Linked DNA regions of Drosophila melanogaster. The protein of the gene in region 2 binds, or shares a complex with, the protein of the main gene of each other region. Each region holds a gene or a part of one and is shown on either strand. Other genes may lie near its edges. The genes, in order: xmas, Nup205, Nup153 and Nup358.

Region 1 (4,839 bases), 2.7 Mb from region 2:
AACGTCGCCGAAGCAGACGGTGACCTTCATTTCGTACTTTTCGTGTTAACAATAACTATTATCGTCTTCGATCTGCGATAATAAGTATGTATTTTTGACTGCTGCAATGCACTTTTTATTTTGCACACACATATATGCACTTGATTAAATTGGGCGATCGTTTCTTTAACTTATTTTTTTCTCGAATTTTTCGGATTTTTTCCTATTACTATTTTGTATGCAGCTACTTTTTTTTAACGCTATGCTCGTCTGCCTGCAGCAGCTTTTTGTTGTTCTTGTTGCTGTTGTTGTTACGACCGCATCATCATCATCGTCGTCGCTTTCCAGCTATCGCCATCCTTGTTGCTCCTTTCGCGTGCACAGTGCGCTTGTTGTTGCTGTATTGTTGGTTGTTAGGCAGCTGCAACAAAAGTTGGTCTAGGGCGGCATGGGTGCGAGCGAGATGGCTGCGTGCCTGGAAAAAGGATCGGGATCGCTTTCCAGTATGTACTTGTAGTCGCTCTCGCGCGCTCTCCCTCTCTGTCGCTCTCTGGAAACTGGAACTCTCTTTTGCTATTTACTTAGCATATTTCACCGTAAGGCATCGTTGTTATTGTTTGTTTTGTTGTGTTTGTGTGATTCATACACGCGCGCATTAAAAAAAACGAGTTACAACAACGGCAACCATAATAACAAGAACAACAAACAGCGGGCCAAGATCATTTATTTACTTCTTTTTTTAACGTTCTTCGCTCTCGCTCGCAAACTTGGCATTTGTTTTGGTCAAATTATTATATATTATGCGCTGTAGATTGCATGGTTTTAAATTTACGGTTCGATCATCGTTTTTATATCTTTTCTGTTACTCTCTTTTAACGTTGCTTTTGTCGTGTTTTTCGTTTTCGGTTATCTCCTTTTTCGCCCGTTGGCGTCGCTTCTTTCTTGTTGTTTATCACTTTCAACTATTCATATTTCGATTGCAAGTGGAATAGTATCGTTGACCGCCACTCTTATTAACGAACTATTTGAACTCAAAAAAATGCAAAAAAAATCCACGAGCAGCGCGTTGATTACTGCGCTTCGAGTTCGAATTCGCCCTGGCGAGCAACAACAAATGACCAAAATTCTGGGGATGGCAGGCTCATCGATACTATCGGAACAGCAGCTTGGCTTCTTCGCGGTATTTGGTTATACTTTACTGGGCGGTCACACTACTGCTCGTTATCTCCCGCTTATTTTAAAATCAGGGATTGGGCTAAATGCCATCTAATTCTGCAATAAGTTTTATTGAATTTGCATTGCTTTATATAAGTCAGCCTATTAAATAGAGATATTGATTAAGAGGTAATTAATCGTCTTAAAATATTAAAGTGTAAAGATGAAAATATTTCTTATGTAAGCTATGTATAAATATAAAATACTAGGAACAACCAATTTCGATAGGATTAATTGTATAGTCCTAAGAACGACAGATAGTGTTATCAAGATCGAGGAGTTTGAATCGAGAGCTTAAAAGAGAATAAAAAGAACTTAAAAAGATTGCTACACCTATATATATATTCATATATATATAAGATAATATAAGAAGATGTTCGATTTCATTCAACAGTTTAAGGAACGCCCCAAGCATTTCCTAATTTCCTAAGAATATATGTTTACCAACTCCTGTTAACATTTTATTTATTAGGCAAATACATTCATCTCGAATGTAAAACATTAAAATTTTCAATTAAACCTGAACGATATTGTGTGGGTGGGATAGCCATTGCGGTATTTTTTTCGCGCCATTTTCAGATTTGCGTTATCGATTACCGGCAATCGCTTGACGGCAATATTGTAACAACAAAGCACACATTCGCTCTCATTCAGCTAAAAAAGAAACTAAAAACCTTAAACTATATTCGATCGATGGCAGAACCCCGTCCCGGCGGCTACAACTACAAGACATTATTGTGAGTAAAAGTTCGTTCATCAAAGGCAGAGCGATGTCAACTATAGTTCCATACGAATCCCCAGATGCAGAAACATTCCGGAGCTATTTTTGGACAAATATGTGGCGCGTTCGCACTTTGGACGTTTTGGAACCCTCGTAAACTTCGTCCTGCGTCCGCGGCGAATGACCTGCACCGTAAGCTATGCCAGCGAGGACGAGGCGGCGCGGGCGCTTCTCGATGGCGCCAGCTTTCAGGGTCACCTGTTTGATATATCCTATGCTGATAACGAGACGGCGCCGGCACAGAAAACGGAGGAGTGGGTGGATCCTGACATTCAGGCGGAGTTGAGTGCACTGCAGTCGGGCTGGCGCAATGAGTATGGGTCGGGCAAGCCGATAAAAAAACCACAAAATGGCAGCAGTGGTAGCGGTGGCAGTTCAATGCTGCCTGCCATACCAGTTGGGCCCGCAACGGCGCCGGTGAGCAGAGATCGTACGCCTGCCCAGCTCAGGGATCTTGAGAACATGATGCGCAGACCCGCCCATACAAGCGAGGAGAAGTTCAGCGTGCTGGATGCCCGCGATAAGCTGCTCCGGTTGAACCGAACGCAACACAAGCTGTCCGGTGCCACCCAGGGTCACTGCGCCGATATGTGTCCGGAAAAGGAGCGCGTGCTGAGAGAATTCCAGCGCCAGGTAGCCTACTATGAACTACAACCGGGCTCCGATGAGCTAATCTGTCACGAAAGAGCCCTGAAGCAGTACTCGCGCAGCAGTGCCGACCAGGAGACGCCACTGCCGCATGAACTGCGCAATGAGACTGCCCTGCACATGACCATGAGCTATCTAATGCATGAGATCATGGACATTAGCGAGCGCCAGGATCCGCAAAGCCATATGGGCGATTGGTTCCACTTCGTTTGGGATCGCACGAGGTCCATCCGAAAGGAGATCACCCAGCAGGAGCTATGCTCTCTGGGCGCTGTGAAGCTGGTGGAGCAGTGCGCCCGGTTTCACATTCATTGCGCCGCCCGTCTGGTTGACGCCGATCCCAGCGTCTTTGACAGCAAGATCAACGCCGAGAATCTAACCAAATGCCTGCAGACTCTGAAGTACATGTACCATGACCTGCGGATTAAGGGCGTTCCATGTCCCAAAGAGGCGGAATTCCGGGGCTACATTGTGTTGCTCAATCTGGCCGATGCCAACTTTCTCTGGGACATCGGTCAGCTGCCCGCGGAACTGCAGAGTTGTCCCGAAGTGCGTCAAGCCATTCAGTTCTACTTGGCCCTGCAGGACACGAATTTTGTGCGGTTCTTTCAGCTGCTGGCTGACAAGGATACCAGCTACCTGAGTGCCTGCATCCTAGTCAATTACTTTACGCGACTGCGCGTGCTGGGGTTGCATCGTCTGATCCAGGCGTATAGGTCTCCGCGGAAGGATGAGGTGTCTTCGCTGCCTCTCAGCTACATCGCCGAGCTGCTGAGCTTTGCCAGCGAACAGGAGGCGGCGGATTTTGTCCAACACTATGGCCTGCAGATCAACGAGGCGGGCAGAGTTGTGCTAAGCAGAATGCACACGGTGGAGACGGAGTACAAGCTGCCGCGACAGTATGAGGTAAGTAAATGGTTTTCTTTTTTTTGTTTTATTAATTTGATTTTTATTATCCACTTCCAGTTGGTGGAAGTGAAACGCGTGAAGAGCGTGGGCGAAGTCGTCAGTGGGGAACCTTTACCACCACGAGACCTCTACCTCAATCACCGACCGCACAATAGCTTCGACGATTATGGAATGCTTAAGAGCATTGCATGGACGGCCAAGGATCAGCTGGCTGGCATGCAGCAAGAGGAGATGCAGCCACAAATGCCTTCGCAGCCACCAGCAGTCTCAAAACATAGCGATACTTTGTTTAAGGTGCCCATGCAACCCGACGGAACGGCAGCAGGGTTTGGAGTATTTGCTGCGGCTGCTGTTCCGCCAGCCTCCTCCATCGATGGATTCAGTTTTGTTCTTCCCAAATCACGTGCTCAGGAGTTCCAGGAACAAGCTCCGGCTACACAGCAGCGACGGGCACAAGAAGAGGCCAAGCATCAGGCCCTCCAAGTAGCCATTGCCGCTGCAAAGAAGCGGGAAGCTGAGCTAATGGCTATTCACGAGGCCAAAGTGGCCGAGGCTGAGCGAGTGCGTCAGCAGAAACTCAGGGAACGCCAGGAGCAGCAGCGTCGCCAGCAGCAGGAACTGGAGGAACAACGCCAGCGGGAGCAGGAGAAACTTCAGCTGGAAAAAGAGAGGCAACTGAAACTGGAACAGTTGTTTTTTGTGCAGCAGCAGGAAAGGGAGGCCCACAAACAGACCAGGACTTTGGAGTTGTATCAGGAAATATTCCAGGACACCCTCGCGGAGATTTGCCAAAGCGAGTTTATGTCGCATAGTCGGGCTTGCCGTTCCTACGAATCCATGCTGGACTCAATAACACGCGATCTCGTCGAGCGGCAGATGGAGCAATCCATCTACGAACTAGGCGTCATGAGGGTGTGCATCAGACGATGGCGGAAATATCGGCGAACGCAACAGGAGAAGGACACGCTATTTAACCAACTGCCTTTAAGTTTTGGAGCCGAAAACCCCGAAGGAGTGGTGAACAAACGAAGCATGGAAGATTCACTGCGTCTAAGCAGACGCTATCGACTTGGCGAGCCCTGCGATTATGGCAAACTTCTGGCTGGCCTGGAGGAGCATAGTTGGCTGAAACTGGATCTGTGGCACGTTTTGGACAAGTGTCTGCCGGTAGCGCAACCAGGAGCTAGACGCTTCTACAAGCTATTGATAAGCCTGTCCGGCGGCCAGGAGGGTCTCCAGTTGAACTGCGATTTGGATAGGGGACTACTGCAGCAGCCACAGTCGCCGGATGCTCGTTTTGTGGATGG
Region 2 (7,874 bases):
GCACTTTTTGTGGTCGTTTTTGCCCCAGCAGCTGGTCCAAAGATTAATCATTCCGCTCTCTGCGTTTGCTTTTATTAATTCTCCTTTGACCCATCGAATGGGGGGAGTGGTAAAGTTTTAAGTTTCTATATTATCAAACTATAGGAAACTATATCCATGATACTAGTTGGGCAGTCTCAACTTTGGAGTACCGAATTTGAAGTCTTTTGATCACCTAGCACTGCATAACTAGGTTATTTTCATAGCCAAGGAGTAAAGTATACTGAATACACTCGAAAAAAAAAACACTAATAGAGAATTATAGTTAATACAATTACCAACCATATGTGAGTCTACCATTTGCACCGTTCTTACTATAATTTGAAGAAGCTGTACTTTAAAGGTATAGTTCAGTTTCTTCCTGTGTACTCTGTCCTATGACTTCTTTTTTTTTTGTGTGTGGGAGCGAATTATGAAGTACAGAGGAAATGGTCGAGCAACACAAACGCACACACACATTTGGAGAAACTTGGGAGATACTTACATTTGTTATTGTTGCTGCTTCCTCGAGGCTGTGCTGTTGTTGTTGCCGCTGCTGCTGGTGGTGTTGTTGTTGTAGCTGTTGCTGGAGTAAGTGCAGTTGTTGCTGTTGTAGTTGTTGTTGCTGATGTGCCGCAATACCACCACAATCCATAGTAATTACGGGTGCGAGGGGGCGGGGTTAAGTGTGTGTGGGAGTGGAGTGGAGTCGTCAATTGGGAGCGCACTCTCTATCTCTCTCTCTCTCTCTCCAAATCTCGCTCTCTGTATTGCTGCTCCTTCGCGCGATCGCTTACTGCAGCGGAATGAAAAGCGAAACAGACATAATTGAAGAAATGCGATAGCTCTCCGTCTTGAATTTCAACGATTCGCCGTAAGGGAGCGCTGTTAACCGCTATTTCAGTCACTGTTTGTGTCTTGTTCCTTTTTTTTATTTTTTTTTATTTTCAGCTAACTCTGCAGTTTGCCTTTGTCCATATTTTCGGTGGAAAAACCACTTCCTTGCTCTCTCGCTCTGGCTCCCTTGCTCTTCTATACCGCTCTCTCTCTCGCTCGCCAGGCGTTGCGTGGGCGAACGTAGGGGAGAGAGCAAGCGAAACGAAAAGAGAGAGGCGAACGCAGTTTGGAGTTTTATGCACTGGAGTTGTGAGTATGTTCGTGTGTGCCTGTGTGACTGCTACCCCCACACACTTGCACTGCCTCTCTTCCTCTCTGTCGCTCTCGCACACCCAGTACCAAGTACTCTGAACTCCAACTCCAGTTACAAATTCAATTCCAATTCGAATAATTCCCAATGAAATTTGAATTTTCCTTCCAATTGCACTGGCTTTGGCAGTTAGTATCCCTTTTGGCATTTATTGCAGCCGAACTGCGCCGATTGCATTTGCATTTACACTTCTACATCCACTTCCACATCCACTTGCATCGACAGCCAGAACCAGCATCCCACTATGGTGCAGTTCAGCCTGCCCGCGGCCATCGGTGATTCACTCACAATGCGAACAGGACACCACTTGGGCAGTGCGTTCGCTGGCCAAATCAAGTGGCGGAGAACAGAAAAAAAAAAAAACGCGAATCGGAACAAAACAAATGGATGCTACTATCGGGTAACTACGAAAAGTCCGTGCGTAGATTTTCACGAAAACGCCCCGCCCGCGCCGCACTGAAGTTGTGTTAGTTAGTGGTGCGACAACGCACCGATGCAGCGCCTCGATTATCGTTCGATAAGCATCGATTTTCCGATTGACTTGGTTCGAATCAACCGTTTAGCCAGCGCAGCAACCGCAGTTAGCGGGCACAAGCACCGAAGCGCGTACGAGCGTGGTGAGTTCGTACGGTGGTGAACATCTGTGTTTTCCAGTATTTGCAGCACCCAGCCCTGGTAACCGGCGCCTTGTCGCAAAGCGAAGCAATCTTGCCGCGTTTTATAGTCAATAACTGCGAATCAGCAAGAACTGCGTGAACTGAGCGAACCGCAAAACCAAGTGAAATGGATGGTGAGTGCCTGGCCAACGAGCAGATGTGCGTGGGTCGCCAAATCACTAATGCCACCCATGCGTCCACAGCTGTAATCGAGGACATGTGGACGCCGTACAAGCATTTGTACAACACTTTTCAGACCGCGGTGTCCAATCGCAGTGGCTTCACCTCGGATCTGGAGCAGTGCCTCAAGAAGTACAAGCACAACTTCAGCAACTTGCTGCGCAATCCGGTGGGTATAGCAAAACAAGCGCTTGCAGATCCGTAGATTTAACTAATTATTGATAATCCATTATTGAAAATGTCGGCAGCCGAGAAGCGAGAAGAGCCGCAATCTCCTACGAAATGCCCTCAACGAAGGCGTCCCGATGCAGGGGCATTCGCGAAAGACAAAGATGTCACAGGACCTGGCCGACGAGGCGGTCATTCTGTCCGACATGTTCGATCTGGACGAGGGTTTCGCCGTGGAGCTGCTGTGCACCGCACAGCGCCAGCAGAAGCATCATCCCGGCCTGTCCAGAGGCCTTGTCGCGGTGCTGCTCTACTACGATGGACGAAAGGCCATCAGCTGCACGCTTCGCGACATGTTCCAGGTGGTTAGCGGCGTCTCGTGGAACACCGAACTGCCCAAGGAGGTAAGTTTCGAGATTTCGACATCGCAGGCATCGCAGTGCCGCTGAAAGAGAGATTCACTGACCCTGATTATCGTTCTACGCACGCAGATCACCGGTCTGGTCACTAACTATGCCGAGAGCCTTGTCGACGGCTCTGGGATACTGGGACGCCTGCTGCAGCTGCTCGAGGAGATGGATGTCGACAAGGAGGTGGGTTTGTATGCGCCTGTTTCTGAAATTCTCTGAAATTGCATATCTTCCTTCGCAAATTGTTATTCATTTGTTGTCCAACGTTCGCAGTGCGCTATGCTGACCACAAACCGCGCGTTTGGCTCCAAGAAGCATCAGAACCAGGTGCTCGGCCTATACGAGGACATTCAACAGGCATTGGCAATGGCCCTGTTCAATTGGTCGGCACAACGCGGCCTGCCGCGACACATTGCCATTCGGCTGATGCACCAATTGGCCAACCGAAAGAACCACGACGCGGGCGGCAACATGGACGACGTGACCCTGATCATGCTGATGGCTCTGCTGTATGCGTACGATACCTCCATGCTGCTGGTCACCGAGGAACCCAATGAGCACACAACCCGACTTCCGATCTTCAGCGATCGCGAGTTCGCCGAGTGCTTCCTGGAGGAGCTGTACGCGCAGAGCAGCTGGCAAGCACCGCGCCTGAATGCCATCATTGCCTACAGCTTCGGACTAACGCTGGCCAGCCTGCGGCATGCACCTTTGCAGCTTCAGGCCACCGCCATCTCGATCATCAATCGCGATGAGATGCTCATCGACGAGGCACTGGGAGCGCAGGTATTCGTCTTCTTCCACAGCTTGCTGCTCGAGAAGGATCTGGTCTATAGGTGAGTACTGACAACTGAAGTGTCAATTGCCGATTCGCAAGCTAATCATCATTTGTGCTGACAGCACGCAGTTCTTCTACCGCCGCGTCCATCTGCTCATCACGGACTTCATCGACTTCATGAACTCCAAGGTGTCGGAGCTGCGCGGCCGAGCAGACGAGTCGTCACACACGATCATCAGCTTCCTAAACGAGGGTCTGGAACCGCCGCCCAACTTGGACTCCAACTTTGAGCTGCTCATGCTGTGCGTGGCCAAGATGCACGGCGATCCGCGCGTCACCATCAGGCTGTGCAACGAGTACTGGGGCCCCGGCGATCCCAACGGCTCTACGGCATTCAAGAACACCTCGCGCTCGGTGTCGCTGTTCAAGTTCATTAGCTTGGCCAGCGACCTGCTGCCACAGACGCTGTTCAAGGCCTACCTCAAGATGATATCCGGACTTACACGGACCGATTTCTCGGCTCGATGCGCCTTCAACATGCTTAGGGTGCCCCAGATGGCCACCGGCGGCAAGTATGCGGTTAGCTGGGATCACTTCTTCACCACCCTGGGCAACTACTATACGTAAGTGTGACTCAAATCTGGTATTGAAGATCTCTCTGAAGATCACTATCTTCTAGTTCGATGCGCAACGACTTTAACACCAACATCGGCATGAGCGGCGAGACCATTTACCGCACCCGATCGACACCAAAGGCCATTACGCAGCGAGAGGCGGAGCATCTGGTGGCCGTAATGGGCATCATACAGGCGGTGGCGGAACACGACGAGGTCTCGCGCATCATGATCTGTGACCATCCCAATTGGCAGACGCCGCAGGTGCTCCTGGGCCTGGTTGCGTGCGCCACGCCGCTTTTTTTGAAGGCGGAGATTCTGCACACGCTGGCTGCCCTGGCCAAATCGAAGGAGACGGCGCGCGTCATCTGGTTCCACCTGGAGGCCTCGCAGATTATACCCACTGTGCCCGTGTCTAGAAGCTATGCCCAGTGCAGTTTGTTGGAGGAGATGGAACAAATCGAGAGCCGTTCGGAGCAGTATAACCTGACGCGCGGCATCCTCCAATTGCTCTACACACTGATGACCACCAATCTGCCGAAGAGTTTGGGCGCCGGGCAACGGACACCGGCCTACGAAGGCTATCTAAAGTCCATGATAAATTCGGTGTTGCTCAAGTTTTACAATCGCGCGTACAAGGTTCCCTCCGAGAAGTGGCAAGTTGGCGCCCAGTGCCTGAAACTGCTCTACTACCTACTGGCCACCTATCGGCCGTCCGCAATGGATTTTCTGGAGACAGTCGATGAACCTCCCTATCCGGGCTTTCACGTTATGATGCAGCTGCAGCTGAAGTCCGAAATGTTGCAGCTGCTGCTGTGCATTGTGGAGGAGGTGCGTGAGCGGCTGGACAACTACAATCGCTTTCAGGGCAAGAAGCTACTCGAGGAGTGCTCATTGTACGCACTGCTGATCCTGGAAGCCGCATTGGCGAAACAGAACGCCTTCTTTGAGGCCCACTCGGCGGCCAATTGCCCCATTTTGCTGTCGGGCCTGAATCGCATGCTCCTGGATCTGAATCCACGCAGTCGCAAGCCCGATCACGTGCTGAATATCATTAAGTATGTAACCTATAATAGCTGGCTGCCGCGGCACGCCCTGGCCGCCATTAAGATTCTGGCTTCGGTCACCCAGCTGCCGAATGTCTCCACCCAGATTCTCAGCATGTACGGTCAGGGCAGCAATGAGAAGCTCGAGATTCGTCAGGGTTTCGTCGAGTGCCTGGAAATGGAGGTGTGCGTGGGCAAGCACGACGACGATTTGTTGGACCAACTGGCCCTCAACAATCACGTTCCGTATCTGGGATTCGGCGATGATCTGGACAATGAGCGAGAGATGAGCGGGGAACGCGAATATTCAACTATTGAATCGCAACTGGAGCTGCAGGCGGGGGATGGCGCGCTGGAGAGCAAACCGGCTAGCATTGAGCTGCAACTGAAAGAGGCCATTATCAAGCTGTTCGAGATGAATCTTAGCCAGCAGTTGCCCAACTTTGTGTACTTCCTGCTCGGCGTGGATGTGCTGCGCGAATTTATGGCCAACGGACGGCAGCACCTGGCCATCGAGATGCAAAGCTCGTGCGTGAACTCCGTAGTGCTGTTGCTGGAAAAGTACATGGATGTGAGTTGAAAGCCATTGGCCATTACTATCTATTCTAACTAACTAACTAACTAACTAACTTACCAACTTTTAACAATCAAATCAATCTCTGATATTGCAGAAACAGCGTCACAGCGATAAGTACTGCGAGCACACGGCGAGAATCGTGGAGCGCATTTACCATCTGTTCCATGGACTCTGCGCCAATCGCCGCACCGCGGAGACGATACTGCGCTACTTCCGGCTAACGTGCAGCGACTTCCTGCTGCGTCACCTACGCTCGCTGCCCTTCCGGCAGCATCGCGAGGATCATGTGCTGCACGCCATGGGCCACCTGCTCAACTGCGTCTCTATCGATGTCAAACTGGCGGCCAAACATGGCCAGATGACGCGCTTCAACCAGATGTGCGACATTTTGCTAATTGGAAACGGAATGGAGCGTTCATCCCATGGCCTGTCGATGGAATTGGGCCACAGCCTGATTTCACAGCCGTCGTCGTCTTTCCTCGCCATGGATGTGCTACCGGCCGGTGGATCGATAAGTGCCGTGGCACATGGGGCTGGTTCGGCGTCTCTCGGAGCTCCAAACACTGGGGTCAAATCACTTAAGCCATCGCTGCTGCAGGAGACATCGCAGGGACTGCATGTCACCCGACTGCTAGATATTCTCGTCCTGGAGGCGGGCACGTTGAGCCAGCCGCAGCTGGAGTTCTTCGACGGGCATCTGATCACTCAACTGCTGCGCGACTGCGAGGCATCCGCCGAAGCTGGCGCCAATTCCAGGGCCAACTTGATCAACGTGCGCAAACTGTACTACATTCTCACCGACGAGCTGTACATGGTGCAGAGCATCATTGCCAGCGGCCAGCGGAAGGCCATTTCCACGGAAATCATGCTGCTGCTCAATCACGCCGTCAACATAAATCGCGTGCGGACACAGCGCTGCGCCACGCTGGCCTTCATGGCAGCATGGGGTCAACTGGTGCAGGTGCTCTTTAGCAACATGCCCGATGCCGTGCTTCCGGCGACGCAGCGTCGCCAGCACATCATCGATATCGTCGAGAAGGTACTCATCAAGGTGCAGCCCATACAGCCCATCATCGAGATATCCGTACAGGTGAGCGAGACGGTGCTGCTGCTGCTTGCCAATTTGCGCTACTGCTGCTACCAGGCCGAGGACCAGAGCCCCGAGGATCTGGCCGCCGAGGATTCGCTCAGCAATGGCAATGGCAACGCCATCGGCAACGATTCGCAGGTGAACGCATTGTGTCTGGGCCAGAGGGCAATCGGAACTGGTTCGGATGGCGGCAGTGGAGGTGGACGGGATATCGGTTCCGGTGGCAACAGCAGCAATCTGCGATTCATTCTCAAGAACCTCGTCCAGTGGATCATGATCAGTGAGGTGAAGTCGCAGAAGCTGCGCATCAATCTGTACAGTTCGCTGCTGAATTGCCTGCGGATCGCGAAGCGACTGCGCACCGACGAGCATCTGGAGTACCAGGAGACGTAAGTGTATCCTTCTCAACAGCAGTAGCAGGCAGTTGTAGCTTTCATTCTATTTCATTGCAGATTGATTTCGCGCCAGGAGAGTGCACGCACGTACAACAAGGAGCAGCGGCGCGACGATCGCCTGCGGCTGAAGGCCATGGCGGCGGAAGTGATTGGCACGTTCGGCGAGAAGCTGATCGACACCATCTGCCACGATGCGGTGACCGGCCACGATGTGTGCCGCATGCTGGCGCTGGCCTGCCTGGACATGATCTCCGAGCTGCAGGCGGTGAGCACGCTATGCGACTTTGTGGCATCGCGTGGCTACCTCAAGCACATACTGGAAAGCCTTGATCAGTCCAGTACGGCGCTTTGCGGGATTCTGCAGCCCGTGCCGGATCACCTGAGGCCGCTCTACGTCTACGAGTCGCGCATGGCCTTCCTCACGCGCATGGCGAACAGCAATGTGGGAGCCCGGCTCCTCCTCACCGAGCAGGCGCTGGGCGTGCTTTCGAATATGAAGGTCTATGACCAGCAGCCCGACCTGAAGTCCAGCGAACTGAATCGTAACGAGCCGCAGACCTTCCTCCCGTCCATCGATGACCGCTTCCGGTCGATCCTCCTGCCGGCGCTGAGCCTCTGCGATGCCATTGTCAACTCGCTGGGTCCGCGCAACAACTCCGCCGCCGTGCAGGTGCTTAACTTTCTGTTCGCCCACATCGACATGGTCGAGGCCATGTTGCGCTCGGCCACGCCGTA
Region 3 (4,732 bases), 3.3 Mb from region 2:
GTTCGACAGCCCGGTACCGGGTTTCTTACTGCCACCTTGGCCCACAGATGTCTCCGCAAGACTGCCGGAGTCTGAAGGTCGCATATCTACCGCTTTCATACCGTATCCAATACCACCAGTCATGGAAGCATGCAGCTGATGCGCCGGTGAGCTGCCGGCAGAATTGAGTCCCAACATTGAGGATGCGGCGGATGAGCTAAGATTGCTGCGACTGAAGAGGCGATTGTTGCCGGAATTGCCCCCGAAGGTGGTGCGTCCCTGGTAAAAGGGCGAGCTAGAGGCAGATGCAGAGCCTGAGTTAGAGGCACTGCCACTAAGCAGACGACTGTCGCTCAGTGCCGACGTACTGCCGTATATGGACGCATTGAAGCGACGTCGTTGGGTAAGGGAATTCAGCGACCACGTAGAATTCCGATGCGATTGCTGTGCGGCGGTGTTGCTTCTGTTAAATATTGACTTGGAGCTCTGCAGATTTCCGTAAAATTCTAAATTGCTGTTGCTGTTGTAATGCGACGGACGAAGTCCGTCGTGCCCTTCACCATTGTCGTGGTATTCGTTCATATCGCTCTCGGACTGCGAATCACCGCAACCTCCTGCGGCCGCAGACAGTTCACTTCGTCTTGTTTTTGTCTCAATGACATTGTTGTTGTTATTATTATTATTATTATTGTTGCTAGTATTGTTGTTGGTCCTGCTTATTCTCAGCAAATGATTGAGATGTTCTTCCGAACTCATGGCCGGGCCAGTCCCCGTCTCATCCATGGTAAGATCGCGTCGATGGGTTTGCTTGCCTATGAGCGATGGTCGCTTGTGGTTAGGAAGGCTGGATAGGCTGTTGTTGTAGCTGGTAGCGGTGCTGCTGCCTCCGAAAGGTATGTTCAGTGAACGGCGGATGCTAAAATGATTTAAATGATTGCCTTATAATTTTCACTAAGGTTTTCTTCTTTTTCGTCTTGGCAATAGCCTGGCTATGCAACGCCCAAATTTGAGTTTGTTTGAAACGAGCTCTAAGGTAGTTATCTTTTTGAATTCCATATTAACACTTTTAGTAAGCATGACTGCAGTAACATACCTGTGTGGCAGATCCCCGGTGCTTCCCTCGGCAGCTTCGTTGCCCGTGAAAAAGTTGTACGCGGGTTCGCGCTGCCGTTGACTACCATACAAATTGAGGTGATTGCGCCGATGTGGCGCAATGTGGCTGACGCCCTTGTACATCTGGGAGCTGGAGGAGCTGGTGGCAGCCGCGAGCGGAGCAGCAGGCGTGGATGACAAAAGGGGCAGACGACGCATGTTCGGCAAATTGACGGGGGTCTCCAGCTGAAAGGGATTCAAGATTAGTTGGGAAATGTAGACAGGATTGAAGATGTGATCTTACCTCCAGGCGTCGACGCTTGGTCTGCACGGCGGCGGACTGTTGGAGATTCTCCTGCTCTTCATCGTCATCCTCCTCATCGCCATCCTCGTCGTCCTCTTCCAGTTCATCCTCCTCGGCCTCATCCTCGTCACCGCCGGCAGCTGCAACAGCCCCGGCTCGCTTGCGCAGCAGGAACACATTGTACTCGCTCCGCCGCGTCTGTTCATCCTCGGCGGCCAGGTCGTGTTCGGCTATGTTGTCGGCCAGGGCCACCTCCTCATAGTTGAGGCCTTTGGCATCGGAGCCGTCATCAAGATCATCGGCTGCATCGGCATCCACTTCGGCTAGCATTATCCGACGGCGTCCTCGTTTCCGCTTGGTAGTGAGGCGTCCATTGGACTGGCGTGGCTGTGACTGGCGGAGATTAGCTGGGGAGGATAAGGCATCGTTCCCATCTTTGGACGACGGCGAAAACCAACCGCTCAAGGAGGCGGGCAGAATGCTGGACACGCGCATCTTCATCTTCCCCATGATGGACTGCAATTGCAATTGCACGGAAGTTGGATATTTGATGGGAACCAAGTTATCGTCGACTGTACTTACGTTGTTGCTGTCAGACTCCCGTAGGGCTCCCGCCGAGGATTCATCCTCTTCCTCCTCCTCCTCCTCGCTTTCTTCAGGCAGCTCCTTGAGCGGCGTCAGCGGATGCTTTTTGGCCAATTCGGCTTGCGAGGATTCCCTTTGCTCCTGTGCATCCTCCATTATGCCGCTTTAGATTCAGACTCACCTTTTTAGCCGGCGAAGCAACGGCACAAAAGAGAGATGCAAAAAAAACGCGAAAAAGAAGCGTTGCCGCACACACAACAAAAAACGTAAGTAAAAAAAAAAACCAAAAAAAAAGCACACACTGTTGCAATTCCTGCGAGCTAGTTTGTATGTGTAGGTGCGGATAATGTTCGCTCACTCGCTTCGTTCTCACTCTCTATCCTGCCTTCTCTCTCTGTCTGTGCGTGTGCAAAGGTGTGAGTGCGCTTACGCACGCCGTCGTGGTTTTTTTTGTTCGCGTTTCGCCGAGGTTTTACACACGCCGCGATATTTTTAAATAATATTCTGTTTGGCGCCACAAACTGGTCGCGTTTGATCAGGATTTGACTTCTTGGCCACCAATGAAGAGCAAATTCTGGGCACAAGCACTGCAAAATTAGAGGCGGGAAAAAGGATTGAATACCGAATTCGGGCGAAGCGCTCGAGGTTCTTGCTTTTGGCTTTGCCCTTACCGCTTTCCAGCATGCCGCCCGTTTTCTTCAATATTTGTTTTACTTTTGCCGGATAGATTTGATATATATTTGATATATTTTCACCTTCCTTTTGTCTTTGTGCTTCTTCCACTTCTTCCGCACACACTGCTTTCGCAATTCTTCGTTCCTCTTCTTCACGCTCTGCTCACACACACACGCGCGCAGCGATTCGGTACGAATTTTGGCGTTTTACCGCCGCGAAATCCACACTTTTAATTGCAATTTAACATTTGCCGCTGGTCGCATTCAGGTTTTCCATTGTTGCACGAGAACACGCACCACCGATTTGCAAGAAACAGAATTTCAAAAGAGCACGATTTGATTGGGGAAAAAACGCGTGTGTGGCCACAAAGTAGAGCTGGAACCAAAATCGATGTTTGTCAGATACTATCGGCGTGTCGGGCAGCGTGTGCTAATCGATACGTTGCCTGCAGCTATCGGTTACATGCACGTTTACGGTTTGGAAGTCTGTAATTATTAAATATTTTTAATTGGTGATGAACTGCCATACGGGCTTATTACTCAAGAACCGCTTCAAGTGCGACTTATAACATATGTAACCATTTGCTTGTGTTGTCATTTGAATACTAAGCATTTGCATTGACTAAAAGGAATTCTCGTTTGTATCTTTAAGTTGGAGTGAGGTATTTGTTTAGGTTTTTACTTGGCTGTGTGATAATGCAAAAGTTTAAATACTGTACTAATGTTAATCGATAGTTGTCCTAAAAAGAATTTCCAGCGAGTTAAAATTCAGCGAGTGCTAGAGTGACCACAGATTCTGCATTAGAAATAAAGCAAATATAATAAACGAACATAATATGAGCGCCAAATATAAAAGCCCTTATTAAGGTGCAAATATGACAAAGAAATTATACAGTATAAATGTTAAATAAATCTTAAAAAATGGGTTATAGGGGAAACCATATTGTTTTGGTTCAATTTTAGCAAGCCATTTTAAAACAACTTGAATTTACTACTAGATGAATCAAATATGTTACCTCTTAACGTCTAAGAAATTTACATTTTTAGGGCTGGAAAATAAATACCGCTAGTCGATATCGTCATCTTCTCAGTTTTGCCATCCCTAGTTGTTGTTATTGTGTTCGTCGTGTTGTTGTAGCACAGTTGTTGTTGTTGCTGCTGCTGGGCAAACAAGTGTTAAAAACTATTTGTGCTGCAATATTTTCAGCAATTACCGACCGCCCTCGCCGCTGTTCACCACCCAACTTAACCAGCAACCCAGATTGGAGCAACAAAATCCACAAAGGCATAAAGAATCGACTTACACAATAAAACCTTAATCGGTTGGGTAAACAACTTGATTGCTGTGAGCAGCCAGTTGGGTTAATCTCTTCGATTTGTCAAGTCCAGCAACAATGAGCCAAACGGAGGCTAGCAAGACACCCAAGATTCCGGACTCGGAGCCGGACGGATCGAAGGGCAAAGGGAAGCAACAGCTGGAAACTTACCGGGTATATGTGGTCACCTGGAATGTGGGCAGTCGATTTCCGGATAACATATCCCTCCGCCATCTGCTGGGACTGCAGGATGTGACGGTGGATAAGGACACGAAGGAGACTAATGCCCACTTGCCGGACATCTATGCGTTGGGGCTCCAGGAGGTCAATGCCCAGCCGCAGCAACAGGTGTTGGGACTGTTCAAGGAGGATCCGTGGACGCACAAGGCTAAGGAACTGCTACGCAACTACGACTATGTGGCCGTAAAGACCGAGCAGATGCAGGGGCTGCTGCTCAGCATGTTCGTGAGGCGGCAGCACGTTGAGCACTTGCAGGACATCGAGGCGGAGTTCACGAGGACCGGTTTCGGTGGCATTTGGGGCAACAAGGGCGCCGTCAGTGTCAGGTTCACCCTTTACGGCTGCGGACTGGCCTTTGTGGTGGCCCATCTGACTGCCCATGACCATATGATGGACGAGCGCATCGAGGACTACAAGCAGATACTGGAGAACCATCACTACCACGTCAAGCGGTATAGGGAGATCTACGATCACGACTATGTCTTCTGGTTTGGCGATCTGAACTTCCGACTGCAGGGCAGCGATTCCTCGACGGAAGTGCG
Region 4 (4,833 bases), on a different chromosome or scaffold from region 2:
CACGCTTTCCAATACTGGAGTGTGTGTTGCTTGAGTTCAAAATTTATTCTGACTTTATTCGTGTATTAGCAATAAATTTTATAAAAAGCAAACGCTACACAGTCGATATTAGGCATTACTACTATTACTATCATTAAAAAGTTCGCCGACGTATGACTACTTAAATATTGTTATGTTTCTTTTTAAGACTAGCCATTTTTATTAAAACTTGAGGCACAATAATGTAAGCATTAAACATAATAACGAATATATTTTCGAATAACATTTCTTTGCGTATTCTGTTTTTTAAAAGTGTAAAATCTTGGAAAATTCTTCCACTGATTTTTGGTCATACTAAAATAAACATTTTTTTGGCGCCGGCTAATTGTTGCATATATCCCGCGAATAACAAACAATATTTATAGAAAGATGCGATCTGTCATCGAGCCCGACCACAGCATCCAGCTTAATGAAGCCATCTACTGCTACGATATATGCACCAATGACTTTGCCTACAACCTAATCGCAGTGGCCTTCAGGAAACACTTGAGTCTGCTGCTCGTTGGACTGCCGGTGGGTTTCCATGCATAAGACCAGTGAAGGTTGAATGATTTTGAATGGTTAACCCTTAATCCGCAGGAGGAGAGCGGCGAGTTCGGGTACACACGCCTGCAGGACATGGACCTGGGCGAAAAGGAGCAGCGGAGCGTGAGCGCACTGGCCTTCTCGCCGGACACCTCGCTCAACTGCACGCCCAACAATGTGACTTTGTGCGCGGCCAACGGCAGCCAGCTTAAACTATACCGCACCGATCTGGGCCAGTTCACCTCGCTCCAGGTGCTCCGTGGGCATGGGGACTACGTCAACGATGTATCCTGGGTTTGCGACGGCGAACTGCTGGCCTCCGTTAGCGATGACTTCACCTGCAGATTCTGGACGACGACAGGCGGCGGGGAGAATGTCATAACCTTTGGCCTGTCCTCCGCTGGAATGTCCGTCAAGAGTCACCCCGAGGATCCCAACAAGGTTCTTGTGGCGGAAAAGAAGGGTGTGCTTGCTATTACCAGTGTTTAGCCCGCGGTGTAACTAAGGAAACTCCTTGCAGGCATCATTCATCTATACAATGTGACGCTCAAGCAGACAGTCATCTCCGTGGAGTCGCCCAAATTCCCCCTGATGTCGGCGGACTGGGCCCACAGCAACCGGCTCTTCATCACCTCGCTGGCCGGCGGAGATGTGGTTACCTGGGACCTGAACCGACCCTATGTGCCCGCGGATGTCAAGCAGGTCCACGAGGATTGCGGCCGGGTGGTGCGCTTCGCGCCAGGCAGCTCCGAGATGGTTATCGCCATGGTCATCGGGCTGACTCTCAAAGTGTTCGCGGCCAAGTCGACCGTTCCTCTGCTGGAGGCCTCCCTGAAATCCTATGGGGGAATGGCCTGGCACCAGCGATTGCCGTACATTAGTGCGGTTTCCGATAGGAAACTGCTCTTCTGGAAAGTGCAAATGAAGTAATTTATATAAAATTGTATGAATAATAAATAAAAGAATATAAAAAATATGATATAAAAAAGATTTATCAGAAGAATATCAATGATCTACACTCTATTTCTATATTTATATTTCATAATTTCGTTAAACTATCATAAGTTTTATATTATTCTTGAACCTTCTTTAATTTATTTATTAAATCCCTTATACTTATTTGTTTGTTCGAAAAAAAATCGTAGCAATCGATAGTTGCTATAGTCATTAAAACATCGGTGACGCGATATATTCGCGCCCATCGATGAAAACGCGTAGTCATCGTTTTTTGTTCCAGCACTAAGTTTGCACAAATTTTTTGGTTTCCGTGCTGTTCAGCTTAAGTTTTAATTGGAATTTAGTGATATTTACGTTCCAATCTACACCGCAAACGAGTGCAGTTTGTTGCGACTGGAATTGCCCATCCGAATCTACGTGATTTTCCGGCCGGGGCAATTAACCGTTCGAGGAATCTGCTTCAATCGGATGACGAGTGAAGAAGAATCTAACGCGAAGCACATTTTTGCAAGGTCTCGTCCACTGCAAATTGGACGTGTTTAAAAAAGTACAGATATGTTTACAACGCGAAAAGAAGTGGACGCACACGTCCACAAAATGTTGGGAAAACTTCAGCCGGGAAGAGAGGTAAATAAACGGCCAAAGTGTGCATCGGAATTTCCAAAAAGAAAATCATTGCGAAATCTTCAGGCGCCGCCATTGAAAGCACACCGTTGTGTGCGTGCGGCGTCTGCTTGTGTTTGTGTGTGTGAGTCGGCGTCACTTGGCCGTCGTTTTTGAGATTGAATAAGAAATTGCGCGCTTTTCTTTCAACGGCTGCATTTCATATACTTGACAAATAGAACGCTTTTTTCGCAGCTGCATGGCTTTCGCCTTCTCTGTATAAATCAAATTAGATATTTGAGGTTATGTGTACCATATCAATCTGCTAGAGTGAGCGCTGAATTTGTAAGACCGCCAAAAATAATTCGAATTTCCATTGTGGATTTGAATGATTTTTTGCGGTCTAACGTAGCTCTATCTAAATAATAAGCACACAATAAGTCAAATCTTACAAAGTTATTCTTATCCAGCTCACAGTGATTGTCTAAAAATTTAACAGACTTTTTTGAACCTAACGTACTAATCAATAAAATGTATATTGTAGCGCGATATCAAAGGCTTGGCTGTAGCTCGATTGTACATGAAAGTTCAGGAATACCCAAAAGCCATCGAGTATTTGAACGGCTATCTCCGGGTGAGGGACGACGCTGTAGGCCATAACATGATTGCCACTTGCTACAGTAGGCTGAACCCGCCCGATGTGACAGAGGCCCTGCAGCACTACCAACGTTCTATTCAAATTGATCCGCGTCAGTCAGAGGTTGTCATTGACGCCTGCGAACTTCTGGTGAAGGAGAACAACGCATCGATCACGGAGTGCGCCAGGTACTGGTTGGATCAGGCTAATAGCCTTGATTTAAGCGGCAACAAGCAAGTCTTCAACCTGCGAATGCGTGTAAATCTTGCGGACAGTAACGGCGAAAGAGATGACACCAGTGGCGGAGACGGCGAGCAAAATACCCTCGAGATTCTTATGTACAAGGAGCTGCAGGCGCGTCCCCAGGATGTTAATATACGCATACAACTGCTGCGCAGCTATGTTGAAAAAATGAAAATAGACCAGGCCTTCAACTATGCTCTAAAAACGGAACTGGAGTCGAAAAACTGCACGAGCCAGTCGAACGAATGGTACGAGCAGATCTGGATGGTCCTTTTCAAGATAGAAATGGCCAAGGATGTAAAGAAGAACTGGCGATTTTGGCACTTCGCCTTGCACACTCTCGATCGTCTCGTGCAGCTAAGCCTGGAGGGCAGTGGACTGGCAGACAGCAGCAAGCAGTTGTTCAGACTTGATCAATATCTATTCAAGTTTAGCACTTCGATAGAGAGGTCAGGGGACGCTCCGCAGCGGGATCTCCACCAGGCTTGTATTGACCACTTTACCGGCCAGCTTCTGCTTCACGCGGTGACACTGATTTTCAAACGTGAGGTTCTGGCAAACAAAAACAAATGGATGAGCACGCTTCGCTCCGCTTTGCCACTTCTGCTCCTTGGTTACCAGGTGCGACCGATCGATGATTCGAGTACCAACCAATGGATAAAACACTGCGACGCGGAACAGAAGCAGTTGATACAGATGTGGCGCCCTCAGGGCGCCTTTCGATGTGCCCAGCTTGGACGAACCCTTTTGGGCTGCTTGGACCGGTCACAAATGGAAATTAAAAACGATAGAGAAAATGCCGAGTTTGATGAGAATAAGAATTCGGGAAATTCTATGCCGGGATTATTTGCCGACTCCGAAGAGCTGTTGGCCAGCGCTCACCAGCAATGCTTGGACAAGAGCTGGCGAAGTCAAATTTACCAACAGCTCTTTACCCACGCCGAACACAAGCTAAAGGATACGTCTTCGCATCTGGTGCGGAACCTGCGTCTGCAGCTGCCTCTTTTTGAGTGGCCGAATCTGGCGCATATCGAGAACTACGAACTGCAAGCGTTGGTGCTGCCGCCACACTCCTTAGCCCAACATGTCTACCTGGCTCTGGGCACCGACCCGAACAAACTTGGAGATGCGCCACGCGTGGTCTTTTATGAGGGTTTCCAACGGGATGTTAAGCAGAATCTAAACTACTGTGGGCAAGATTCAATCAGCCAGGTAGATGTGGACCTCTACCTTTATGCCACAACCATTCAGACCAGACGTAAATTGCAAATCCAGCGTGAGGTGTATGACTCCTCCAATTTGGGAAACCGCAATGCTGCCGCCCGGCCACATATGATGCCATTTGCCAATCTAGTGGGTCAACTAGGCGCACCGGAGCAAAGTAACTGGTGGGATCTGGTGGTGCGACTTAACTCGAACCAGCTTATCACTGAAGGCAATCGCGCCGAGCAACGAGCTCAACTACAACATGGATTGGAAGCGGTGCGCGGCGTTAATGGCCCAAAAGCAGATGCCATCATCATTTTTCAATTGGGAAAGATTTTAAATTCCCGATCGGATCGTTCTTCTCTAGAAGCGCGTATCGATACCCTGTACAGGCAAGGATTTTCAATTTTACGCCACCAACACAACCAGCAGATGGAATCCTATGTCCGCGTCTTTAAGTACGGATCCGCCGGCTCAACGGCAGCATGGCAAGATCTTCAGTCGTTGGCTGAGGAAGCCGTCACCTATTTTAGCGAGAAAATGTTTAGGATTGGACAGTATGAGCAGTTTTTGGACGAGGTCCGGGGACTTCATCTGCCCATGGCCTACTTTTTGCAATCGGA

What was found.
Region 1: Nup205 (region 2) and xmas share a complex: the UniProt entries of both Drosophila melanogaster proteins name them as parts of the nuclear pore complex.
Region 3: Nup205 (region 2) and Nup153 share a complex: the UniProt entries of both Drosophila melanogaster proteins name them as parts of the nuclear pore complex.
Region 4: Nup205 (region 2) and Nup358 share a complex: the UniProt entries of both Drosophila melanogaster proteins name them as parts of the nuclear pore complex.

The regions. Positions count from the first base shown.
Region 1 is NC_004354.4:17,156,263-17,161,101, reverse strand, and holds the start of xmas (xmas), read left to right. Parts: upstream 1-1,795; 5' UTR 1,796-1,887; coding exon 1,888-1,931; intron 1,932-1,995; coding exon 1,996-3,529; intron 3,530-3,589; coding exon 3,590-4,839. UniProt on the Drosophila melanogaster protein: Involved in mRNA export and mRNA coupled transcription activation.
Region 2 is NC_004354.4:19,850,340-19,858,213, forward strand, and holds the start of Nup205 (nucleoporin 205kD), read left to right. Parts: upstream 1-1,874; 5' UTR 1,875-2,008; coding exon 2,009-2,230; intron 2,231-2,309; coding exon 2,310-2,633; intron 2,634-2,720; coding exon 2,721-2,822; intron 2,823-2,912; coding exon 2,913-3,475; intron 3,476-3,539; coding exon 3,540-4,040; intron 4,041-4,096; coding exon 4,097-5,648; intron 5,649-5,748; coding exon 5,749-7,133; intron 7,134-7,196; coding exon 7,197-7,874. Other genes in the region: pico, read right to left, coding at 524-673. UniProt on the Drosophila melanogaster protein: Plays a role in the nuclear pore complex (NPC) assembly and maintenance, but with limited role in NPC permeability. Required for specific nuclear import pathways such as Mad import.
Region 3 is NC_004354.4:16,597,539-16,602,270, reverse strand, and holds the start of Nup153 (nucleoporin 153kD), read right to left. Parts: upstream 3,031-4,732; 5' UTR 2,632-3,030; exon of another isoform or gene 2,548-2,631; 5' UTR 2,117-2,547; coding exon 1,958-2,116; intron 1,892-1,957; coding exon 1,376-1,891; intron 1,318-1,375; coding exon 1,073-1,317; intron 896-1,072; coding exon 1-895. Other genes in the region: CG9784 (uncharacterized protein), read left to right, coding at 4,029-4,732. UniProt on the Drosophila melanogaster protein: Component of the nuclear pore complex (NPC), a complex required for the trafficking across the nuclear envelope. Functions as a scaffolding element in the nuclear phase of the NPC.
Region 4 is NT_033777.3:25,247,555-25,252,387, forward strand, and holds the start of Nup358 (nucleoporin 358kD), read left to right. Parts: upstream 1-1,793; 5' UTR 1,794-2,076; coding exon 2,077-2,148; intron 2,149-2,668; coding exon 2,669-4,833. Other genes in the region: Nup37 (nucleoporin 37kD), read left to right, coding at 409-552, 619-1,027, 1,085-1,494. UniProt on the Drosophila melanogaster protein: E3 SUMO-protein ligase. Component of the nuclear pore complex (NPC), a complex required for trafficking across the nuclear envelope.